Caenorhabditis elegans: one gene and its partners. The protein of the gene in region 4 interacts with the protein of the main gene of each other region in a biochemical or structural test. Each region holds a gene or a part of one and is shown on either strand. Other genes may lie near its edges.

Evidence for each region.
Region 1: of the proteins of npr-1 (region 4) and flp-21, one has a biochemical effect on the other in vitro, tested with the Caenorhabditis elegans proteins (4 studies listed by BioGRID, with this or other methods).
Region 2: of the proteins of npr-1 (region 4) and flp-18, one has a biochemical effect on the other in vitro, tested with the Caenorhabditis elegans proteins (3 studies listed by BioGRID).
Region 3: the proteins of npr-1 (region 4) and lin-7 form a complex in vitro, tested with the Caenorhabditis elegans proteins (one study listed by BioGRID).

The regions. Positions count from the first base shown.
Region 1 is NC_003283.11:7,791,412-7,794,560, reverse strand, and holds flp-21 (GLGPRPLRF-amide), read right to left. Parts: upstream 1,195-3,149; 5' UTR 1,192-1,194; coding exon 1,107-1,191; intron 1,057-1,106; coding exon 987-1,056; intron 822-986; coding exon 776-821; 3' UTR 536-775; downstream 1-535. UniProt on the Caenorhabditis elegans protein: FMRFamide-like neuropeptide. Involved in modulating locomotion quiescence during the sleep-like state called lethargus which occurs during molting between larval and adult stages, acting via the G-protein coupled receptor npr-1.
Region 2 is NC_003284.9:3,011,641-3,016,289, forward strand, and holds flp-18 (SVPGVLRF-amide 3), read right to left. Parts: upstream 2,647-4,649; 5' UTR 2,639-2,646; coding exon 2,563-2,638; intron 1,521-2,562; coding exon 1,428-1,520; intron 1,379-1,427; coding exon 1,229-1,378; intron 1,181-1,228; coding exon 1,127-1,180; intron 1,081-1,126; coding exon 918-1,080; intron 868-917; coding exon 777-867; 3' UTR 774-776; intron 725-773; 3' UTR 550-724; downstream 1-549. UniProt on the Caenorhabditis elegans protein: FMRFamide-like neuropeptides. Ligand to G-protein coupled receptor npr-1. Involved in modulating locomotion quiescence during the sleep-like state called lethargus which occurs during molting between larval and adult stages, acting via npr-1.
Region 3 is NC_003280.10:14,345,306-14,350,648, reverse strand, and holds lin-7 (Protein lin-7 homolog), read left to right. Parts: upstream 1-1,856; coding exon 1,857-2,057; intron 2,058-2,575; coding exon 2,576-2,733; intron 2,734-2,792; coding exon 2,793-2,868; intron 2,869-3,292; coding exon 3,293-3,487; 3' UTR 3,488-4,805; downstream 4,806-5,343. Other genes in the region: elof-1 (Transcription elongation factor 1 homolog), read right to left, coding at 169-307, 357-472; Y54G11A.17 (L51_S25_CI-B8 domain-containing protein), read left to right, coding at 1,243-1,407, 1,454-1,663; Y54G11A.9 (Core domain-containing protein), read left to right, coding at 4,924-5,037.
Region 4 is NC_003284.9:4,766,639-4,771,746, forward strand, and holds npr-1 (Neuropeptide receptor npr-1), read right to left. Parts: upstream 3,348-5,108; 5' UTR 3,337-3,347; coding exon 3,163-3,336; intron 2,727-3,162; coding exon 2,582-2,726; intron 2,533-2,581; coding exon 2,345-2,532; intron 2,286-2,344; coding exon 2,034-2,285; intron 1,984-2,033; coding exon 1,922-1,983; intron 1,877-1,921; coding exon 1,712-1,876; intron 1,108-1,711; coding exon 997-1,107; intron 948-996; coding exon 732-947; intron 687-731; coding exon 626-686; 3' UTR 514-625; downstream 1-513. UniProt on the Caenorhabditis elegans protein: G-protein coupled receptor for FARP(FMRFamide related peptide) neuropeptides. Activated by FARP neuropeptides flp-18 and flp-21. Plays a role in modulating social and feeding behavior.

The DNA of each region.
Region 1 (3,149 bases), on a different chromosome or scaffold from region 4:
GTAATCATAAACCGAATTGGATATTTTATTTTTTCGAAACTTTTGCAATCGGCTCGGCTTTGGTAGGAAACTATGTATAAGTACTACTTTATCTTCAATTCTAGGGAATTCTCGGTTTTATTGTGAATAAAATCCCTAGGACTGATTTTTTCCATGTATTAATTGCCATACGAAATTTCTCGGAAAATGTTCTTAAAAATCATCAAAAACCAAAATTCAACGATCATTACACTTTCCACAAAACTACAAAATTGGCACCCAAAACTCAATTTCAGGAGCTTTATTACTATATAGTCGGCACATTATGTTAGAAATTCAAGAGATAGACGCCTCAATGGATTTATTACGGCAACTACGATCCTTGAAACAGTATCCATAATGTTTGTTCAACCCCTGCAGGGAAGACACCAACTGTTTCATTAATGTAATCCTGACTGATTTTCCCGGATTCTACCATTACAGTTGCAGGGTACAATTGCACAATTGGAAAATTCTTAAATATAAGGGCACTCATAAACTTAATAAAAAGTCAAATGTCAAACTGAAAGCTGTTTTTATTTGTTCAACAGAAAAAGAGGAAGTGAGATAGAAAAAGAGAGAGAGAGTAAAAAGAACATTGTTTCTGCAGCGTTTTCAAAGAGAAAAGGAGAGGATAGATATTTCTTCGGAATTGGAATTGTGGAGTGTCTGGAACATCATTTTTGTATAAAGTTACATTGAGAGGAAAGAGAGAAAATGTTGTGTCATGTTGTTCGTTCGTTCGAGCAGCAACCGTTTATCCAAATCGGAGAGGACGAGGACCGAGACCACGTTTCATTGATCTGAAATTTTAAAATTAGTTTACTTTTTTCTGAATCGCAACTAATTTATTCTAGCTGAATGCTCGTATTTCGGTAAATTATTAATTATAGCGATTTGCAACTTATTCTACAGTAAGACTTGACTTAATAAAGATGTCTATCAGAAAATAATTAAACTGGACCTACCCATGATCGTCTTCGGCAACATAGTAAACTCTGTCACTGCCGGGTCCGAATTGCTCCAAATATGCGTTCACTGAAAAAGATTAATGATTAATCTAAATCTTTAACTTTGACAAAACTTACAAACGCGGAGCGCATCTTCCTGATCGATATAAGGCGCTGCGAGGACCCACGCGAGAAGACACGAAAGCAAGATGAACAGCCGCATCGTCTGAAAATGACTTTTTGGATTTTGGAGCAATGAGAGGGTGGGAGATCAAACGTTGAATACACAATCAAATCTTAAATAGTGTACATAGTCATCGTTGTAAATTTGCATTTGTTAATGAGATTCTTGCGAAGCATGATGGGATGGGGTGGAAAAAAAGAAGTTTTGAGATAAATAGTAAGACGGAAGTGATCACTACGGTAGCTTTGAAACAAGAAATGAATATTTCAGTGTATCCCCTTCCAAATCTACTGGACTACTCACAAAAATGACCTTTGCTCCAAGAGCAACCACCCATCCTAGAACCTAGGCAAATGATACATCGAAATGTTTTTTCAGGTAAGATGATGTTATATGTATACGTGATTCCGGTAAAAGTTTTTTCTGGGAACTATGAGGAGGGTGTATGTGGTGGGAAAACAGGATAGCCCAATATTTATTGGGCACGTCATACTCGTTGCAGAGCATAGTTGAGGTGGCCGGAAATCGCGTTAAAATATGCTATGACTTGAAAACAACAATGGTCCTATTTTGGAAGATGTAATTTTACGCGATAATTCAACGAGAGATTGTAATAAAGACGTGTAGATTTTGAGTAACCATAAAATATGAAAAATTCATGAGTATTACAAATATGCAGTTTTTGGAATAAAGAAAATAGCTGACTTGAAAAATCTACTGCTCGATGACTTTGTCTAATTACGGTCTTGAAAGAAAGCAAACAGCGTCTTGTGCATTATGAGGTTTTTTGAATAAAAGGAAGTGTGCTCCGCTTAATTAAGATAAACATGTTTCAGTGTAAGTAGTTGGTCCCGACTGTAAACGCATCAGAAAACTTTAAGGTGAGAACAGTTGAGTTTCAATGCACGTATTTGATACAGCCAAAAGTTATTAAACTTTAATTGAAAAGTAGAGATTTCCACAACACATCTAACCTTTTAAAAATGTGACAGTTGATTTGAAAAAAAAATCTAGGACTGAACTAGGAAAACTGTTGACATACGTTCTTCTTTCTTTTCCCCTTTAATACCACATTGTTTTGGTCAAAAAAGTCTTTAAGATTTTTAATATTCGCAGACATCTCAACCAAATGAGGAACAGTCACAATGAAGACCACCTCAAAATGCATGTAGGTTCTTCTTTTTTCTGATATTTTTGCACAGCCTTCCCCAAAACATTCACAAACACATAAAAAACACCAACCAATTGATATACCCACAAAAGTGATGTGAAGAGCAAGTGGGAGTAAGATAAATGTGATGAACGATGAGGTGGAGGGTAAAAGTGATGAGAAAATGTAGTCTTACAAATATTCAAAAAAGTTGGTAGTTTTTGATACGATAAGTTTTCGATGAAAACCAAAAAAAGAAATAAAGAAGCTTTATGAGCCGAAAAAAGTAGAGATTTCCACGATTATCGAGTTACTTCGGGGCACATTTCGTCATCATCGAAGAAGAGGAAACAAATTTTCGTTGGCTCATTGACTTTCAAAGTTAAACTTCTTTAGAGAGTTTAGCGAGGCATAAAAACTTGAAAATTTTGTAATTTTTGGACTCGGTTTCAAACTAAAGAATGGAAAAACTTTTCCCTGTCCAAATGTCAAAGTCGCATAAAAATTGTCATTGGTAACAAAAAAAGTAGTGTTTTAGTGGGTCAGTAGATCAAATTTAACATTTGGCAGGTGAAAGAATTTGTAGAGGTACACGTCAAATGCTGGTTTTTGACGCGTTTTCTCCAAGATCTCTTATATTTTGGTTTTGGAAATATCAGCATTTTACGAAGTGGCCACCTAACAATTACAGACGAGTATTCACATCACCATATGTATTTGTGATTTTTCGAGGAATGATATCGAAGACTGAAAATTAGAATAAAATTCCAGGATAAGAAGGCTTTGGCTTAAAATCAGAGCTTAAGCTATTAATTTGTCATTTTATTATTTACGAAACAGCGTTCAG
Region 2 (4,649 bases), 1.8 Mb from region 4:
TTAAGTAGAAAACTTGTTGACTTTGTTGACTTGCTTACAATTAATTTTAATATTGATGCTCTCTCTGAAATGAAAGAAAAATTGTACAGTACTAGATTCATCAGTGTATTGGGAAAAGCAGTTTGAAAAAATCTTCATGATCCCAGATTCAATTAATCAAATCTGAAACTTGAAAGAGAATTAAGGACGGAAATTACCTGTGCACATGAAGTTGGTTATTTGATAATTCAAAAAACTTTTCTGCGTTTCAAATTTTTTGGAATCATTTTGATACACATGCTTCAAATTTTCAGCAGCTTCATGAATAGACTCATTTCACACTGGGTTCTGTTTAGACTTATCTAATCTGATAACTGACATAACACAAAGCATACTTTTTCATCGTTTGAAAGCTCAATGAATCAATTCCTAAAATGCACAGAGTTGGAGGTAATTATTCTTTTCAACACACGTCAACCATGAACAAATCTGCTTTTCAACATTGTTCAGAAAACAATTGATAGACACACAACTACATTACTCAAAAATTAGACGAACTGTGTTTGACGTAACAGGAAATGATTCATTTAATCGTATGGAGCTCTAGAATTGACAACGTTTAGTATCATTGTTGAAAAGAGACAAAAACTTAATATTAAGTGATTGAAATGAGACGCTCGGAAGAAAAGAAGAAAAACAACGAGATCATCGAATTGTCGCTGGCACATTTTACATTCACATTCATCTGAAACTTGATACATGTCAGACTGGCAAAATCTTATTTAGAAACTTACAATTTACTTCCGTCCGAATCGGAGAACACCTGGCACACTTTTCTTGAGCAAAACCCCTGCGTAATGCTCTTCCAAGTCGGATCGCTTTCCAAATCTGAAAACAAAAACCTTGGTAAGCTGGATGAAGTCTTAAAATGATCGGACCTCAATACACCGGGAACATCGCGTTTTCCGAAACGGAGAACTCCGGGCACTTCACTGCGCTTGTCGAACGAATCAGCCATGTAATCTCTCTTTCCGAATCTCAACACTCCTGGGATCTCCCGTTTGTCCATTGGCACATCACGTTTTCCGAAACGAAGAACGCCTAAAAACTGAGATGTTATTTGATTTAGAATAGATGATGATGCCACCTGGAACACTTTTCTTCTCATCGAAATATGAGCGTTTCCCGAAGCGAAGAACTCCTGAAAGTCAATTTTCAGTATGCAATAAACCAACAAGGAACTACTTACCTGGAACACTTTTCTTCTCGTCAAAATATGCACGTTTACCGAAACGGAGCACTCCCGGCATTTCTTTTTTCTGCACACTGCTTTCTCTTTTTTCCCAAACACCTCCACGTTTTCCAAAGCGCAACACACCTGGCATCGCCCCATCAAAGTCTGAAATTAGACAAAAAATTGATGGTTAGTTGTACGAAGAATTTTGTACCTCTTTTTGAGAATACCCGACCGTCTTGTTTCTCGTTGGTCCGAGTCACTTCGATATCCTCTGCTGGTATGTCTTCTTCGACGATTTCATAGACTGAAAATATAAGTTGTTTCAATGTGCCGTCTTGTATTTAGGGCTGCCATATCGGACGTCCGGCGTCCGACAATTTCCGAGTTGAGCCACTCATTATAAAATTATATGATTATGTATAGTGAGTGGTCAAACTCGGAAGTTATCGGACGCCGTGAAAAACTACCCCTTGGAAAAAAAAGTTTGCGCCCCTATCGGACGCTAAGCGTCCAAATTCCTCCTAATTGCAGTTATGTATGTGTTTCGATCGACCTTACGAGAATTTTCAAAAATTTCAAATTCATGCTTTCAAATCGACACAATTCAATTGTGCACCCCTGTTGAAAAAAGAAACGAAAAAAAACACGTTTCTTGTTGATTGAAATCGTCGAAATACATCACTTTGGCAGAACGACAGCGTCATTTTACTTGGCTTCCCGCGTTGGTCTAGATGGGTACAGAGCACCATCGAACGAAACATGTCCCAACGGGCCCCGACAAGAAAGAATAAAAAACTCAGCATCCAACTCAACACTATCTTTCCACAATATCCATAGGCGCCCCCTTTTTTTCCCGCTACATCTTGTTTTCATCCAAGCGTTTTTCCTTCCAAAAATACATTGGGCCACTCTAGATTATAGAAAGTTTGAAGGTCAGTGGAAACACTTTTCAATAAGACAATAACACCAAGTCTAGAGATTCACGGACCGTGGGAAGCAGCGAAGATTATTCATAGGTCTCACTGGAAAATGAATATCACAGAAGCTTATAAAAACTAATGAAGTTTCAATACGGATGCGATGTTTGAACACCGCGCAAAATTATTTCAGCTAACTACGTCAGGTCCAGAATTTTGAAAAAAAACTAATGTACGCGAAACCAACGTTTCGACAAACTACAAAGTTAAAAATTTTAAAATAAAATTCAAGATTACATTAAGACAAATTATTGCCGTCATTTTATTCAATCTTCCACGCTGATCTGGGGCTATCCAAACTCCCTTCAAACCCAATTAAGAGATTGGATCAGCCAAGACTTTTCTTTGTTTCGTTCATCAAGAACTTACTTGGTTCGGTATATGCGAGCGCCCCACGAAGCAAACAACACAGCGAAATGAGAAGAACGCCCGACCACCGTTGCATGTCTAACCCTGAAATTATTATTTTTAGTTGTTAAAGCAATCGTTATTGTAGTTAAATAATAAACGTCTTGATGCCAATAATATGAAATATGAGAGTATTAAGCTTCTAGCCTCTTTCCTCAAGAACGACATCCCATCAAATGACACTCGCTAAAAAGTAAACGAACATTTTTAGGAAGATACGAAGAAGGAAGAAGTCACACCAGATCCTGGATTCCCCGCCTTTTCTCGTTACCGTAGAAGGTGAAGCAATGAAAAGTGACACGCTGACATCTTGACGTGGCTCATGGGTCGAGGGGAAGAAGCTGAGGAACTCGGGGTGTGTGGTTTTGCGGAAACGCGTGTACAAGGTATTCGAAACACCCCCCCCCCTTATTTGAAAATAGTGTCATCGGTGAGTGGCACATTTATCTAATGAGATTTCACTCATGTCACTTCCTAGGCGGGAAATTCAAAAGTTCGAAAACAAATCGAAATTTTGAATTACTAAATGTGAGAGAATGATGGCGTATTTTTTTGTTTAATATTTGATCTAAGAAGAAGTAACTTGAATAGACATAACTTTCGATCTTTGGAAGGAATTTTAAGGCTTGGGAGGAAGATTTTTCATTCAAAAAAAAACATAATTGATCAGCCCGTTCAGACACAAAAAAGACTATTTTGAAAATTGAGAAACACGGTAAGCTGAAAATTTAAAAACTTCTTTGGTTTCAGTCCTATTTATATGAGGGGTGGGATCTATTCGAACGGACCATTGAGTTGAGGCTCCGCCCCTCCTAAGAAACAACGACGTCATTTCTTTTTTCATGGTGGAAAAAAGCACTGATGTAGAGAATAGTTGAAGAAAGTTAGAGTTGTAGAGAAATAAGAAAAAAAGACACAATACAATTGAATAAATCGGGTGGGACCAGTAAGAACTTCAATTGTGCGGAGTTTATCTGCACAGGTTGTGGCGCAGCTAACGAAAAGAAGATTATCTTTTTTTTCCTAAATTCTCAGCGCACGTAACACACACGTCGTGTCATCGTCGAATCTCATTTCGGGGGTAGATTTCAAATAGATTGGCTGGTTTCCACTCAATTTAAAGAGGGTCAAGCCCACGCGTTGATTGAGGGAAGACTACAACATCTACTTGAGCTGAGTCAAATAACACGAACCCGCCAAAACACAACTACAACACACGCTACCTTTGAAGATGATCTATGAATATTCATAGAGTAAGCTTGGAAAAAAATCAGTGCAAAAATCTATTCCGCCCAGGTCATTATATTGTAATTCAATTGATCTACTAACACTTATTGGCAAAATTAGCTTTGGGCTTGTATCTGATCATTTTACAAAATAGAACATTCGGCTCATAAAAAGTAAGATTAAAGAAAGTTAGAAAATAAAGGTTCCGTCTCAGAAGTGAACTTGAACTGAGAAGTAGTAATAGTGTATATTAAACTGCAAAAGGTGGCATTGAAAATCATAACAATAGGTTCAAGCTTTATTTTCATGTTTTCGTGACCCTATTCCGGCTAAGCTGGGATATTTATAGAGACTGGTTAATATTCAGTAAAAAGTTGTAAGTTTTACTTTTTCATGACCATGTGGGCTTTCAATTAGCCATGTCTTAATTAACTTCATAAGAACGACGGAGTTTCATGCATCTTTCTAAACATACGAAATGTGAGATTAATTTATTCGCAGTGTGACAAACTTTAAAATTATTGTTAATTTCAGGCACTAATAAAGAATTTTAAAAATTCATTAAAAACATCAAAATCAAAAAACAGTCCGGAATTTTTTTAAAAAAATCTCACTTTGAAATTTATCTTTTTGAGATAACCTGTGAGTTTTTAGAACAATGCAGAAGTTTGCAGTTAAATTTTGGTTTTAAAAAATTGAGAAAAGTAAACGTGAAACGACGCAGAAATTTGTGTTCAGTCAAGAGCACAATTTTTTAAGAAGTTAGTTAGAACAATATATGTTCGACAAAAATACTACAACTATATTGTAAAAATAGAAAT
Region 3 (5,343 bases), on a different chromosome or scaffold from region 4:
GGACCGGTTTTCGAGGCGTGCTGCAATGATGATCCAGAAAGTGTGTGGATGAATTGGGGATAGAAGGAAATAGAATTACTGAGAAAAGCAAAGAGATCAACGCGATGGGGATTTTGGAGGCTTATAAGGAGGTCGTATAAGAATTTAAGATTGACGGATGGGGAATATTCAGGCGTTATTTGCCTGCTCACAGGCATCCACCCAATCAGAATAGACGTCGATTGGCTCGGAGAGGTAGTTGATGTTTGTTTGGAAGTCTTCAGAGCAGACACGACACGAGATATAACCGACATTCTTTTCGCGATCCCTGGAAAATTATTACGTTTTTTTTTGAAACGATTTTCCTTAGAAAGTACATTTTCACTTCACAAACGCGTTCATGATTGCAAAACGGACAGTTGAATTGGGTGTCGAGTGGCATTACAGCCTTTGCCTTGGTTGGAGCCTTTCTCTTCGACTTTCGCTTTCCCATTGCTGCGGATTGTTTGGATTGGTTCTGAAAAACAATTATTAAGTTCGGGAAACGTAAAAAGAACAGAATATTTTTGCAGAAGGTAAAAATATGTTCCAATCTCGAAAAAAAAGTTCGAAAATTACATTTAAATTGCAAGAAAATATACTAATATACAAACCACTCAAAAATGCGACACTCAGAAATACTATATTGTTTTTTTCTGTATTCTAAAAACTATAACGTATGCACAATGTGAAAATTTTTCGTGAGTGTCGGCTTGAAATTCCACATTTTTGGACTTCAAATTCACAAAATTTTTTGAATCATCAGGTTTTATATGGAAAATTTACCTATTTTGACACAAAACATAATATTTCTATCATATAAAAACGGCAAAAATCCGGCAAAAAGTAACACGAAAAACAGCCAAAAAAGAAATTTCGAAACAAAATTGGCGCGAGGAAGACAGTTAGATGCGCAGGTTTTCTCGACTACGGTCTGCAGTACACGTTGCGTACTGCGTACAAAAAATGTTGACCGTAGTCTCCAAAACAATTAAGCATTTATCGGACTTTCCGGAGCAGGATTTATTCATTTTATGCTTAAAATTAAACATTTCTCAATATTTTATCAATAAATTAAATGAGAAAATTGTTTAAATCGTTAAAAAGCATTAAATAATGCTGAAAAACGTTAATTTTCAATAAAATATCTTTCTAGTGATGCAATGCAACTCAAAATTATAATTTAACAATTAAAATTATCTAAATTCAAATTTAAATATTCAGATGGGCCTCAAGGGATTCACCGGTAGTTTTCAACAAATTCGCGGACTTCTACGACCACCAAAGAATCTCCCGTTCCGTGGAATTTTCCGGAAAGACGGAGAAGTTGTGCGAAAAGACGATTTGCTGGTGAATCAATTCAAAATGAATTATCATCCAGGGTTAAATGTAAGATTTATTATCAAATATCTTTGATTATTGAGAAGTTATTCAGGTTTACTATGAAAACGATCGCGGAGAACGTCTTCTGCGTGCCCATTGCGACGGAATCGTTCGTATCTCCCAGGAAAAATGCGATCCGGACTATGAAATTGAGGAGATGAAGGGATACGAGTATAGGAAAGACGTGGATTTGTACAAAATGACGTTCAATGTGATTCCGCTGGAATTGTCTCAGAAGCACACGCTGCGACATGAAATTTAAATTTAATTTTTTGTCGATTTTTTTTTTGGTTTTGTTGTGTTTAATAATTTTCTGACGGGCTATGGTCAATTAGAATAGTAAATAATGTTTTTCCGCTCTGGATAGCTTAATTTTGTAATTTTTAATTGGTTTTCTTGCCATTTTTACCTATTTCCGTCCTATTTTTCCCCTCCTTTCCAACCAAATCTTCCAGATGGATAACCCGGATGGTCCGAATTTGGAGCGGGACGTTCAGCGTATTCTAGAGCTCATGGAGCACGTTCAGAAGACTGGAGAGGTCAATAATGCAAAATTGGCATCGCTGCAGCAGGTGCTACAATCCGAATTTTTCGGTGCCGTCCGAGAGGTCTATGAGACTGTTTATGAATCAATTGATGCGGATACAACGCCAGAGGTTCAGTTTTTTTTGATAAAACTGACAAAAATGCCGGAATTGAAATTTCCGGCAAATCGGCATATTGCCGGAATTCAAATTCCTGGAAAATCGGCTTATTGTCGGAATTGATAATTCCGGCAAATTGGCAAACTGTCCGAATTAATACTTCCGCCATATCTGCAAATTGTGGTTTTGCACATTTTTTTTGGAATTTTCAAAATTTAAATTTTAAAAAATTCAAAAAGGCACAGTTTTAAGTGTTTCCGTATAATGAAAATCCCTACAAAAAATTCCGGAAAATCGGTAGTTCGGCGAAAATCAAAATTTTCGGCAAATCGGCAAATTGCCGGAAATGCAAATTATGGCAAATCGGCAATTTGCCGAATTTGGCAAAAAAAAAGCCGAGCGACAATTGCCGCCAACCTTGATAATTAAAAGTTGTCGAAATTTCAAATTGTAGTTTTTTTATTTTTCGAAATAATTTTGAGCCGTTTTTGAACAACAGAAAACAAAAAAAAACACTAAACATTTTTCAGATAAAAGCCGCCGCAACAGCTAAAGCAACAGTGGCGGCGTTTGCTGCAGCCGAAGGCCACGCGCATCCACGTATCGTTGAGCTCCCAAAAACCGATCAAGGGCTTGGATTCAATGTTATGGGCGGCAAGGAGCAAAATTCACCGATTTACATCTCCAGGTGCAGATATAAAAATATTTAATGATTTTATAATTTAAAAAAAACGATTTGAATTGCAGAATAATCCCTGGTGGCGTAGCCGACAGACACGGAGGTCTCAAACGAGGCGATCAACTTATTGCGGTCAACGGAGTGGTGGGTTAAATGTTTAATTCAATTTTTTTTTAGTTTTTTTCGGAAAAAAAACATCGAAAAATATTGATTTTTCAATGTTTTTCAATGAAAAAAAAATCTAAAAATTCATTTTTTTAAGCAAAAAACGAAACTTACTTTAATTTAAGTGTTTTTTTATCGAAGATTTCAGATTTTTAGTGTTTTTCAGAAAATAAACCGGAAAAAAGTAAAGGAACCAGTAATAAAAGACAGAATTTTTCGGTTTACGAAGATTTCCATATAAAAGAACATTATAAATTTTTCTTAATATTTTTTTTCGAAAAAATGAACAATTTATTCTCATTTTTTAAAATTGAAAACAACTACACTTTTAATTAGTAGAAGAATATAACTCGAATTAGAAAAAAAACTTTGATTCAAAAAAATAACTTTAAAAAAATTTCAGAACGTGGAAGCCGAATGCCACGAAAAAGCAGTTGATCTTCTGAAATCCGCAGTCGGAAGTGTAAAGCTAGTGATCCGTTATATGCCGAAACTCCTGGATGAAATGGAGCGGAGATTCGAAAGACAGAGAATTCGATCCACTCAGCAGAGTCCAACACTCCCGACGCCGTCTTCTTCGACAAATCCACGAAGATAAAAAAGACGGAACATTTGTAGAAATCAAGAATTCGAGAATTTTTGGAAAAAATACGAAAAAAGCCACAACAAAACTAAATGTTACGGGAACACTAAATTTCGAGAATGCGTACTGCGCAACATAATTGACGCGCAAAATATCTCGTAGCGAAAACTACAGTAACTCTTTAAAATATTACTGTAGCGCTTGTTTCGATTTACGGACATCATTTATTAATCGATGAAATATCGAAAGAAAACACAAAAAAAAGACAACAAAAAAACAAACAAAAAAATATATTTTTATTTTTTATACAAATTTGTGTTCGAATTGGTTTTTCGTTTTTTTTTTTGTTGTCTTTTTTATGTTTTCAAATGATGTCCGTAAATCGACACCAGCGCTACAGTAGTACTTTATAAAATTACTGTGGTTTTCTCTTCGAGATATTTTGCGCGTCAATTATGTTGTGCAATACGCATTCATGTGCTCCCGTAATATAGATAATGGACATTAAAACAATATTTCTAAAATTTTTGCATCAAAATGTTTTGAGGCCCCACGAAAAGGGGAGCAAAACGAAAAGGGGATCTGCAAAAAGGGGATCTGCAAAAAGGGGATCTGCGAAAAGGGGAGATACGAAAAGGGGAGCAACGAAAAGGGGAGCTGGCACTGTGCCAAACGCACAAAACGCAATTTTTCTCACGCAACGCACGTTGATTTTTGAAATTTTCTTCTAGAAGATACGCTTAACAACACGCGACGCGTAACATCGGAGCATCGTTGTATCGTTTTCTTCGAGAAAAATAGCGCTTGGCACAGTGCCAGATCCCCTTTTCGTTGCTCCCCTTTTCGTATCTCCCCTTTTCGCAGATCCCCTTTTTGCAGATCCCCTTTTCGTTCTGCTCCCCTTTTCGTGTGGCCTCAATGTTTTACTGCAAGAGTTCGCATTTTTCTGCAAACATTGATTAGTTTAGCCGAGAAAATAGAACTTTTGTAGCAATATTGAAAGATCTTTTCTTGAAACTGAAATTTTCGCTGAAAAGTTTGCATTTTCCACCATAAAATCCCTATTTTTTCTATTTTTTTCCAGTTCATGTATACTCATTTCTAACTTCTTCTCTTCTATTCTTTGTTCTAGATTTTTAGATATCCCTATATGTACATTATTATCTCTTTTTCCGTTTTCAGACAAATTTCCAAAACAATGTTAATCTCAACACTCACCCTCTCCCCAAATTATTGCCCAAAAATTGCTTTAATAATCTTGCTTTGCCTTACGTTCTTTCAAATAGGTGCTTTTCTCCATGTATCTTTAATAACTAAATTTTTAAAATAATTTTTTTTCATTTTTCGGCATTTTTAAAAAAATATTTTCCATGTTTCAAAAATCACGAAAATCTATCTTTTTGATGTAAAATTCAACTTTTTTCAGATTTTTTTTTCAGAATTTTCTCGAAATGCTCACACAAAAAATCGGCAGACTAATGGCTTGTACAGTAACCCGACAGGCTCATCGGATGCTCACCGAGCAAGAGATTAAAGTGACGAATAAGGCAGCGAGCAGGCTTAAAGTTAGTCTGTCCTTGGGCGCCCAATTTTTTTGAAAATTAGAAATATTGTAAATGGAAAAACGAGAAATTTCGATTTTCCAGTTTTTTTTTTCGGAAAAAAATCGGCACTTTCCTATTTTTCAAAGTTTTTCAAAGCATTTAATTTCCGGTGTTTTTTTTACAAAAAAATTGTATACTTTTGATTTGTAGTGCTTTTCAGAGAAACCCCGATTTTCAAAAAAGAAAGTTAAAAAATTTTGTGAATATTGTTCGAAAATTCAATTTTTTTCAATGACTAGAAAAAAACCTTAATTTAAAAAATTAATT
Region 4 (5,108 bases):
AACATGTATTCAATTGTTGGTATTTTAATTTTGTAAAAAGTAAAGTGTGCACGGCAATCAAAAATACTCGGAAATTAACATTTTCGGCAATTGCTGAAATTTCCGCAATTGCAGATTGCTGACAATTTTTAGCAACTTTTAAATTTAATCTTATTCTGAAAACGAATTATTACACCTTGTTTAGTGTTCTGTAAATCATTTTTCGATTGGCAATTCCGGCGAATGATGGCTCAGAAATTTTTCAGCAAAATTCCCGATTTCCGAAAAATTCGGCAGTTTGTCTGAAATTTTCAAAACTCCAAAATATTGCATAGCGTTTTGTTTTACCACATGTTCAATATTTGAACTCTTCTTTTTGCATAATAATTTCGTGTTTAATTCCCTACCTTCTAGTCTTCTGAAGCACTTTGCTTTGAATCATTCGTTTGTAGAACACGAGATGATCGTTTAGTCTACGAGACCACATATCATCAATTTTCGTATGTGTACGTCATGAAAACACTTATAGATATATATGCATCCTATGTATTATTTATTCAAAAAAAAGATCATAAAAACTATTTCAGCAAGGATGAAAGTGATGATAGTTGCGAAATCAACGAAAAAAGGATATGTCAGAAAACAATCAGACTAGCGTGTCGTTGACGCTGAACTCGATCAATTCTTCCGGCTCAGCAACAAGTTTACTAAAAAATCAAAATTTTAATTACGATTTCAAATTCACGTTCTACCTTATTTCAGGACTTGAAACTTCATTCAACTGAACTTCCGGTGTAGGAGTCCTCGTATGACCGTTCACATGATAGCTTAAATTTTCCGAACACGAGTTCAGCTCCCTCTCCTTCAACGCCTCGTGGCTACCACCACCGCCAATTTTGGCTCTTCCATTCAAGTGCTTCGTATCATGCACGATCTTTGTTTTGTAAACTGATGTTTGATTGATTATTCTGGAAGACAAAGCACAATTACAACGCGTTTTCGAAATTGACAACAAACCTGTCACTTTTACGCCGGTCTCCAAAATATGTCTTTATGACCAGTTGACGGAAACTTGGGTTCAGCCACGCATAGAGTACCGGGTTTAAAACATTGTTCGACATGGCAATACTAGAAACGTTAAAATTAATATTTGCAAAAACATGAAAAAAATTGAATTCAAAGGAGGGATCCGGTTTTGGGTATTTTGAACATATAGTCACAAAATGTGCTCAATTGAACGAATTTCGTAATGAAACTTCTCAAAACGTTTTGGGCCAAAACGTTAATTTCAGCTAAATCCGCAACTTTAGCCACTTTCCCGACTCACAGCGGTCAGAAACTGGCTTTATTTGAATAATCATCATTTGTGCCATTTGTAGCTTTTATTTCACGTTATTTCGTTGATTAAGGTATCTTTCAATCCAATAGGTAGCCGATTTTGTTCATTTTTTGTTACTTATTGGCTTAAAAAATACCTTAATGATCGAAAAAAGTGAGATAAACTATTAAAATATGCGATAAAGGACGATAATTTTAAAAAAAGTCAACTTTCGACAGCTGCGGAAAAGTGACAGAAATTGAATATTTTAGCTAAACCCAGGTCTTTTTCCAAAAAATGAACCGGCATAAAAAAATTTTGAGAAGTTTTATTTTGAAATTTGTTCATTTGAGGCATGTTTGGGTTTATACGTTCAGAATGGTCAAAACCGTTCGTTCTTGGTTAAAATCAAACCTGTGAGTGAAAAGGTTCAGTAAATAACTGATATCGTAATCATCTCTGCCATAAAGTCGGAAAAACGATTGTGTGTCATCATATTCAATAATCAAAGAAATGACGTTATGTGGCAGCCAAGTTATCCCAAACCAGACAACCATGGTAACTAGGATTGACGTTGTTCTAAAACACAAATAGTATTTCGGTTAGAAACCTTGCATTTAATACCTTCTGTTCTGAAGTACAACTCGTTGTTTCTCCTTTTCCTGTTTGTCTAGAAATTCGTTCAACTGGAACGAAATCAAATGTGAATTTTTAATTTGAAAATCAATAAAACTACCTCATTTTCATACTGTTCAAGACCATGCGACGGGAATGCGCAAGAGCTCTCCAACGCGCTTGTTCTCTCCACCATTTTGCGTATCTTTGTCTGAGCACGCTTGCTGAGCACCGAAACAATATTTGCATAGCAGAAGGCCATGACAGCGAATGGGACCACGAATTGGGCGAGCATCACGATCATTGTGTAGGCTCTTCTAGACTTGGCAGATTCCCACTTTTCAGTGCAAAAGTAGCCGCATATTCTCTCTTCCTGAAACGAGGGTACTAGTTGTATAAGAAGTTGAATACCTAGAAAAAAACGACACTCACTGTGTATTCAATCATTTGCATATTGAACGCATAGGGTAGAGTTACAACAAAAGAGAGGATCCACAATAGAACAGTAGTAAGAAATGCTCCTCTTTGGGATAGTGGTGTAGAATGTGGTCTTACTACAAGGATATACCGATCCAAAGCAATCGCACCGAGACTGAATGTGCATACGAAAATGCTGATACCTGAAAAAAAAACGTCATTTTAAAAAACTTCTTGTTTTAGAAAAAATACCTTGAATGCATGGTATCAAATGGCAGAGTAGATTTCCAAAGTACCAGTTTTTGTACACATTTGTGATTGGAGTGATTGGAAGCGATAATATGCACATCATGCAATCGCTCGCCGCCAGGTTCAGAATGAATATGTTTTGAACGCTCTGAAATTTAATGATAATTCACAGGAGAAGTGAAGGTTCTGGGATTTTTGATTGGACTAGTCAGAGTAAAAATCTTGATCCGCTTCAAAAAATGTTAAAAACATTTTTGTGATGTTCCATCACGTATTTGGTTCGTTTTTGGAAAAATTCTTTCAAGAAGTGGTAATTACTCAGTTTGACTGTCTATAAAATTTTTTTTTCTAGTTGTGAAACGTTTATTATGATATTTGGTTATATAGAATTATAAGAGTGTTTTTTTTTTTTGCCAAATATGTACGTCACTTTTCAAGTAGACATGGATAACCTCGTCTCTCGTTAGCCGGGTGTCAGTAAGCTGTACGCACTATGCACTTCGAATCAAATTGTTCAGAGAACCCGAAATTGTCAATTTTCCAAAACAGAACAAAATTTGACCCGAAAAAAAAACGAAACGTACCAGTAAAGCTTTATGGCTGCAAGTTACGTAAATCAAGGTCACATTTCCAAAGAGTCCAAGAAAAAAGAGAAAAAGGTACACGGTCAGAAATGGCACTATCGCATATATACTTTGAGAAGGATCTGGATACACTTTCCAATATACTTGACAGTCGGTAAAATTTTCAACTTCCATTTGGCCTATGTCTGAAATTTTTTTAGTCTAATGGAGGAAAGAAAAATTGAGGAAACAAAGATGAAAGAGGGTGTTAACCAAATAGATTAATAGATAAAAAATAAAATCCTATAGTTTCCAGAAAGTGATTAGAGATTTGGCTGAGTATAATTCTTTCTTCTCATGTAAGCAAATTTTTAGGGTTTTTTTAGCATGGCTTATGGCTTATAGAAATTAAATATTTCGTACTCACATCTTTAAAAACCCCAAAATTATACTATTTCTTGGCCCACTAACAGGTTCCCGGTCTAGACAATACGACAAAATTTTAAAATGCAACTTATAAAGATTGTGTGCACTTATAAAGATTACTGTACTTTTCATTTCTCGTTGATGAGTTTTGGTGGTCTTTTCATAGGTTTTCTTACGAGTCTACAAAAATTTTATAAGTTTCAATATACAGTATTTTTTAAAGGTGCAAATGTTTTCAGTTGACAAAAAAAACTTGTCGTGTTAAGATCAGGTTTAGTTAAGCTGTGAAATGGCAATATTTTGCATCTGGGTGATAAGGCAGTATAGGTGCAATACTTTTAAAAAATAGGGTAAGTCTAATTAGGTAGTTCAACCACATTGTAAGATCGGAGACCTTAAAACCATCTTGAGCTTTCAGAATGTATATTTTTGGCGGAATACACCTGCGAATTGATACAGATTACAAATGACAGAGATTCATTACAGAATTATAGATACTGGAAGCACAGGATGTCATCTATCGCTTTGACAAGTGGAAAATTTTTTATTTTTTCCGTATGGTTCAACAACTACCTAGTAATAAATGGATAGAAACAAGATATTGGTAAACCAAGGTTCAAAATTTCTAAACCCTGTGTCAAAAAAACAGCACTGATCTATGTGACGAATATCTTAGACGGAAACCAGAAAAAAATTGCGTTGAAATTTGCTAAATGTGAAATGAGAGCAAAAACAGGAATGATGTGAGAGGGAGTTGTGTGATGAAGCCGAAAAATGGTTGACATGTTCACGTTAATGAAAAAGGGATCGAGGGCCGAAAAGATGAATACCTGAGAAAAAAGAGAAAAAGAATATGTGGGGAAAATTTACTGAAACAGGTTTCAAAAATTCCGCAATTGTTTTCCAACTCTATTTTCGTTAAACAACGGAAATTGAATTTTTAAGTAGGAAATAAAAAAAAGTGACAATGGTTTTGATCATGTGTGGGTTGAGATTAAATTTTTGATATCAATCAAAACAACACAAACCCAGAGGCTGATTGAGTTTTGGATAAACTGATTAAATTTAATCTCGAAATTCTCTGAAGCCAGATTTTTTTAAAGTTGAGCTACAATTGGATCGGGCGACGTTCAAATCACAATTCATTTTCAAGGAGAATAATGCATCAAATTGGAACATTCAATGAAAAAAATCCTATTATTATATTTTTTTTAACAACTAGGCTAACGAACTTATTTTTCAAACTAGTTACTAATAAGGAAAATTTGTTTTCATGCTTTCATAAATTCAATTTAAAGTTCAAGTAGTTGTCATTGTAATTGTTATGAATAAAGTTCAAAGTTTTCAGAAATTAAAACTAAATCATTTTGCAATATATTATCTATCCTCGAAAATCAAAACATCATTAAGAAATATTTGTTCTTTGAAATTAAGGAGACTATTCAGAACTATTTCCTTTTACTGAGAGATTTAGTTGCATGAGACCGAGAAAATTAAGTGCTTTTCACAAACTCAATGAGCATTATGAACACATTGAGGTC